2 linked regions of the Arabidopsis thaliana genome follow. The protein of the gene in region 2 interacts with the protein of the main gene of each other region in a pairwise test. Each region holds a gene or a part of one and is shown on either strand. Other genes may lie near its edges.

Evidence for each region.
Region 1: the proteins of AT5G58750 (region 2) and PRA1.B2 interact in a two-hybrid assay, tested with the Arabidopsis thaliana proteins (one large-scale study listed by BioGRID).

What each region holds. Positions count from the first base shown.
Region 1 is NC_003071.7:16,863,867-16,867,414, forward strand, and holds PRA1.B2 (prenylated RAB acceptor 1.B2), read right to left. Parts: upstream 1,722-3,548; 5' UTR 1,510-1,721; coding exon 868-1,509; 3' UTR 580-867; downstream 1-579. Other genes in the region: AT2G40390 (neuronal PAS domain protein), read left to right, coding at 3,519-3,548. UniProt on the Arabidopsis thaliana protein: May be involved in both secretory and endocytic intracellular trafficking in the endosomal/prevacuolar compartments.
Region 2 is NC_003076.8:23,726,765-23,730,524, reverse strand, and holds AT5G58750 (NAD(P)-binding Rossmann-fold superfamily protein), read right to left. Parts: upstream 1,938-3,760; 5' UTR 1,640-1,937; coding exon 479-1,639; 3' UTR 383-478; downstream 1-382. Other genes in the region: AT5G58740 (HSP20-like chaperones superfamily protein), read left to right, coding at 2,997-3,045, 3,147-3,295, 3,410-3,458.

The DNA of each region.
Region 1 (3,548 bases), on a different chromosome or scaffold from region 2:
ACAAGAGGATTTGTCTATTTATCTTCATGTTTAATGGTTAGTAACTTAGTACCTAAGTGTTGTTTTTATCTCACATTCTCACCAATAATTAGAATCCAGGAAAAGATTTCACAAGACATTCTTAACATTAAAACCAAAGAAAAAAGATTTCACAAGACACAACTCATTCCACGAAAATATATCTCATGTTATGAAGATTAAAAACAGGTCACCTATATTATATCTAAGAAAGAAGCAACTCAGTGAGACTTTGACCGAAAAAGACAATTCAGGTGACCGAATCTTCAGTTTGTTTTTGGCAGCCGAGTTTTTAAGACAAAATCCCCAAACTAAACGTGTGTCGTTTTTGTCAAATTGGCCAAACATGTAAATCCAGTGGGAAACTTTCCCATGATATAACCCTCTTACTATCAGCAAATTCGTACACAGTATTGGCTGTTCGCTTTCGAGATAGAGGAAACTTGTGGAAGAATAAAATAGTTGGTAGCTAGAGAGACATAGACATAACTAGTTACAAGATTTACATCTACCACGTATGTTGTTAAACTACATGTTGTTTGTTTAATCCTTAATACTTTGGTCAAACTATAATCTTCACTGGTTTAGTCTAAATCTAACTCAAACATATGGTGATGAAGGCAAAGAGTATCAAATTGATTTAAGGTAAATGAGATCTTACAATACTTGAGAAGGATCAGCTCCAAATTTTCTAAATTGTGACGAAATTGAAGAATACAACACAACAATGCATCTTTAGATCTAACACTTACAGATCTTCATCGAATCTATACTCAAAACATAACTAAAAACCCTGAGAATCCAGGTTTCGTTTGTTCTCTAGGATCAGAATCATCAAATTCGAGCTTCTCAAACTCGTCCTGCAACAACAGAAGCAGCAGCAGAAGTAGCAGCAGAATTACCAATGAACGAGAGTAAACCAGCATTAGCAGGCTCTTGTTCATCCAAGAACAAATCATCAGGAACCCTAAACGCACCATGTAAGCAAACAATCGCGATTCCAATCGTTAACGCCGATGTTAACAAAGATCCAACACTCGTCATAAACACAACCACAATCGTAGTCAAAACAAGACCAAGCAAAGTCTCACGATCTGAGAAACTACGACCAAAGAGAACCAAAGGCTGATCTGAAGATCGGAAGAGGTAGAGAAACATCCAGGAGCCTAAGAGAGAGAGGAGGACGAGAAGCGAGAATGGATGCGAGAGGAGGGAGAAAGCAAGGACTAACGAGACAATTGCGGAGTAATTGACTTTGAAGTAAGCGAGATTCTTACGGATCCGGGAGAAGGAATCGGTGAGAGAGTCAGGTCTAGCGAAGGAGCTCCGATCTACGAGTTCTAGCCATGGACGGCGTTGAGAGAGGCTTTCGCGGAGAGAGGACGAGAGGCGTGAGAGGAAAGTACGGAAGGCGTGAGAATTGATTGGAGGTTGAGATTGAGTGGCTGCTTGCTGGTTGGTGACGGGAAGAATCGCCGGAGAAGAAGACATTATTGGTGGTGTCGGTGAGTCTGTGCGCGGCGGAGAGAGTGTGAATTTGTTGTTCCGATTTTAGTGGAAACTGAAGTTGCGGCAAAACCGTGTTAGATATTCTAAAGGCCTAAATTTTATGGGCCTATAATGTTTTGGAATAGGCCCAATATATTAAGTTGGAGTTAATAGCAATTTTTAGATGGGTCTATAATGTTGGAAGAGGCCCAATATATTCCACTATTGGTTCATAAAACCATTTTTTTTTTTTCAACAAACAAACAATCTTACTGGTTCAGTGGTTTGTATCTATATGATGTTACAAGGATAACACAACACAAACTAGTAAATTAGTGTAGTTAATAATATTCTAATTTTATTTGCAGATAAATTACGACTTCCTACAATTGTTTATATGATCATTTCAATAATTATCATCTCATTTCCCACCCTATGAGTGTTCTCGTTGAACAAATGAAACAATCATATGATCAATTGATCATGAATGATAAAGGTTTACTAAATATATCTATAAACTGTGAAATTAAATTATATACAAATTATGTACACTTGAAGCTAAACAAATTATGAATTATATACAAATACAAATTATATACATAAATAAATATGAATTATGAGTTATATATGAATTATGGTGTCTTGAGACACCAGGAACTTGGGGCAAAGACAACTGGAGGGAACTCGAGAGCATTTTTAAAGACGCCTATGCAACCGGTGGTGGAGACTACATGAAGAAGGGGGTGCAAGCGATAAAAGATGAGTTTGACATGATTGGGACAATCAAAATGAGATAATGAAAACAAATGGAGGTTTGCGGAACTTGTTCATGTTGAGATGACCGAGATAAATGAGGTTGACGAGAATAACAAGAAGGTAAAGGTAACATGTAGTTACTTTCTCAAATTCGTGGATGGAAACAATAAGATATTCTCACTCAGCCTAGGCAATGTTGAACTCAAACGTTGCACTATCAATTAGTGAACTCCAAATCTACACTATCAATAATGTGTTCTTGTTTTGCTTCGTCTAGCCAATTTATTTGGCATAAACACTTGGTGTTTTAATTTGGTTTTTCTAAAATTCTACTGTTGCTTTATCTAAAACTCTACTTGAGTTTTGTTTTGTTTGGTGTTTGCGTTTGCTTTTTGGAGTGTTTTCTTTTGAACTTTTGCTCAAGTGATTGATTGCTTTTTGGAGTGTTTATCATCGAGTCGTTAGTTATGTAGCCACTATTAATTAGTCGTTTGAAAAGTAGATGAAAATTAAGACTTGAGGAAATCAAACACAATCCATAATTTGAATTCACCCCGAAGATAATGATCAGCTGCTATTGTAATCGTCAGGCTTCAAGTGTATATAATTTATATTTGTATATAATTCATAATTCGTATTTATTTATTTATGTATAATTATTTGAACACACTCCATAATTCGTATTCGTATTTATGTATATACAAACACACTCCATAATTCGTATTTATTTATGTATCAAACATATAATTAGTAAACTAAATAAAGACGAAGAAACATTATTGAGTAGAATAGAGGCATCGAATAACAATATTCGTCGGCCTAATCAAGAATATTTCTTGGAAATTCGGGTTGAAATCCACATATGGAAGAATCTTGAATAGCACGTACTTTATCAATTTAATTACATCCCTCTTAACGGTCTAGCTACTCTAATTATCATCTAAACCTTTTTCCTTGTACGTTATCTCATAATTTGCAGGACTCTTAATCATTATCACATTTCAAATTTTCAATATTTTACTAAAGAGACGTCTCGTGTTCGTGCGTAGCTCTATATTTTCTGGTTTACGTAAAATAGTTCATGATTTTGTTTAGCTTACCTTTTGAAAAAAATAAGCGAATCTTTCTTCCTTTACTTTTCTTCCACTCATTAAAATGTTCTCTCTATATATAAATGATAAATCTAGTCTTCTAATCATATACTCTCTATACCACACATATCTAGAACAACAACTAGATATTCAATATTAGCTCTAATGGCTTCTTGTGACACACCTGATGCGTTT
Region 2 (3,760 bases):
TCAATCTTGAATCTTCTCTTCAGTTTTTACTCTCCCCTGTTTTCTCTTACTTGTTGGAATGATTCTTGATCTCGCTGAGTGAAGAGTGGAGACATGGGATGAAATGTCTTTACTCTTACGTCATCTTGACAGCCAAAACTCATCTGTACTACGTATGCAATAACATCGATAAACAAACTGAGTCCAGCTAATCATCTTGTTGTTGTCTCAAGTATGGTCTGCCACTACTTCATCTTATTATATGTCACAATACATTCACATTTGTTCGGACGCGTTTACGAAACCTGACTGGAATTTTGGTTATCCACTGCTTGGAATCTAACTTAGCTATTGCATTTCACTGCAAAGGATTTATGTTTAATGATTTAGCTTAAAAGGATTTGTGGAAAGCTCATTATTCAAACAAACAAAACTTACATGAGGATTATTGATCAAGTACATATATACCGTGATCTACATTGCTAATGTACAACATGTGTTACAAAGGAATGAGTTTTTCATCTCTCATCACATCAATCCAATACAAAACCGAATCTAGGGTTCTATATTTCCTCTTAAACCCAAACCTATCTACTTTTTCTCTTTTCCCAAGAAGCTTAAACGGACATCTAAACAGAGCATCCAAGAAATACCAATTCGCCAAATCCTCAATCTCTGTCCTAACAAGCTTCTCCTTCACAACAATCTCATCCCACACATGTTTTCTCTCAACCATCTCTCTCCCAAACCAGAAACCTTCATCAAACATGGTTGTTTCGTTAACTTGTACACCAAGTTTCTTCCCTATTTCCGGCCAAATCTCCTTCCAAGTAAACCCTACTCCATTAATGGCGTTAAAAGCTTCCCCTTTCTCGCGTACTTTCCCACTTGTTGCAGCGAATATATGCTGCTCCGCGACTAAATTCGAATCAGAGCCATCTATGTAACTCTCTTCCCAACATTCTCTTGTTCCTCCAAACACAAAAGGAAGATTCAAATACTTACACATCGCTCCATAAACACAAAGACTTCCCATGAAGTTGTACAGAGTTCTTGAAGAGCTTCCCATTAGCAAACCAGGTCTTTGAACCGACCAAACAACGGAACTACGAGTGATCTTCTCCTTCAGCAAGTCCTCCAAAACATAGTAGAAATTCTTCCCAGAGCTCTTTCTTGGACACTCCTCGCTGTAATAATACAAACTCGAACCTTCTCCACGAGCCATTGTCTCTTCCACCAAAGACACATAATGCTTCATCCCCGTTTGAAGCGAGAAATGCTTTAACCTCTTAGCGTTTGGGAGAATCGCGTCCAAAGCGTTCATCAGCATCGTCTTGTTCTGTACGCAACATTCGTCGGTATCCAATGGAAACTCACCAGACCACGTGACCCAAAACACGTGACTCACGATGTCTTGTAATGGAGACAACCTCTGTTTAGTCTCAGATGCGTTAAGCAGATCGCAGGAGATGAAGTTGTACATCTTCGTCATGGAATTGATCTCCGGGTTACGCGCTACGCCGTAGATTCTCCATCCTGGTTTAGACATTAATAGCGTCTTAACAATCTCTCGACCCACAAGCCCGGTGACGCCAAAGATTAACGCTACATTCTCGTCTACTTCGTTTCTTCTCATCAAGCTGCCATTTTCAGACCCCATTGTGATTATTAGTGAGTTATGGACTTTGATCAAAGCTTCATATAAACGCTTAGAGTAAAGACAAAAAAAGTTTGTGGGACTGATTCAACGTGTTTTAGGATAGTTTCAAGACTCGATGCTTACCTGTTTTAAAGGCTATGATAAATTATCCAAAGCAAGTTGCTTTGAACACAGCTACGATGTAGCATAACGAAGCAACATTTGTTTAAGATAAAATAGACTAAAGTCAAACAGTGTTTTGGGTTTCATGTTAACGTGTTTATCAATTTAATTTGTGGTTCTGGAATGTGTTACGAAAGCAACAGTTGTTACAATAGTTTTTTAAGGAACCGTCGTGTACAGCATTTTGTCCGGTTCTCAATCGGACGGTCAAGATTTTGCGAGAGGCAGAGTCTGGCCCGTGGTTGCTGGCCGGCTTTTAAAATTATAGTACACTTCAAGTGGGTCTCTACTCTAATAGTATTCATTTTAGTTAACAGTCTCACCGGTCAAAACCGAATATTAGCCGACAACTTATTCAATGAACTAGTTATATATACACTCGTGAGTCGTGATGATTGTTTTTTCATAACTAGAACTCATGTACCCGAAACCAAACCGATTTGAGATCTAACTGTCGTTCGATTCATGCAGTGGCCAAACATGTATCATATCGAATTTCATCAAATGAAACAAGTTGACCAATGGAATTGAGAAAGTAAGTTTTTGGATTAGCGAAATGGAAGACCATAATTTACATTATCAAACAACTTTTTGATTGATCAAAATTATTCTTCTGTTATAAGTCAAAGTCTTTGATCACGTATAACGTTTTAATATGAGAAAATTGAATAACTACCCTGTCTACGTTGAAGAAACTGAAAGGGGGAAATGGGTACAGTGTATCTCTTGTCCCAAAGGACATTGAAAAGCTAAAAAACTAACACACTTGGCTACGTTTAAGGCTTTAAAATGGACCATGTTTTGTGGTAGACCTACACATTACTCTTCTTTCAATTTTGTTTTCCTCCGTATTCTATGCATTGAATAGACCCACTTCTCATCTTTAAATTTTCTGTGGAATTGTGAAAGAGTGTTCTACTTTGGCGACAACAAAAAAATGTTTCTTGGAACTTGGAAGAACTTCAATAAAACGGCATGGAGTTTTGACTTCCAAGTTAGAAACGGAGTGTACCTCAAGAAAAGGGATCTAAGCGTAAATAACTAAAACTAAGAACCCTAAAAGAAAATACATGATTATGAAAGGACTGAATCATAAATGCCTGTCCTCCAATGTTGAGACGAATTGAAAAGGAACCAGAACAACTACTATCAACGGTGATCGATTTCGCCGGGAACGGAGAAGAAAACCCTAGATATGGCGGAGAAGCTTGCGCCAGAGAAGAGACACGATTTCATTCACAATGGTTTCTCGCTTTCTCTATCCCCTCGCTCTATTTCTCTAATTTCAGCTGATTCCATTTCACGAGATTTGGTTTGAATGTTCTTCGATTTCCGATGGTTATAGGTCAAAAGGTATTTGAGTGGGATCAAACCCTGGAAGAAGTGAACATGTACATAACTTTGCCGCCAAATGTTCATCCAAAGTCATTCCACTGCAAAATCCAGTCGAAACATATCGAAGTTGGCATCAAAGGCAACCCTCCCTATCTCAATGTCAGTTTCTTTCGCTATCTTTCAATGTTTTTGATCCGTTTGTCTCATAAATCTGAGTTATTCGATGTGGTATATATAACTCGATTCAATTGTCTAAATTTTGTCAATTTTCAGCACGATCTTAGTGCTCCTGTGAAGACTGATTGCTCGTTCTGGACTCTAGGTACTCCATTTTTTGTTTTTGTGTCTGTATTGGGTGCTTGTTTTTGATGGTTAGGTTTCTGTTTTTAGACCCGTTCACTATTGCTAGAGAGGATAAACTGAACCTGGAAATGTGATCTGAGTTTGGTATAAATAGTGGGACATATAGTTTGGAATGTGGAAAATTTGAGACTAATGGAGGGATGATGGAATGTACAGTATATTTTGGGTTATATTATCAGCGTATGTAAGTTACTGGCATAGTTTTTTTAGGTTCATAGTCTGGCACTGATTGCTAATCTGGATTGTTATGTTTGATTTGGC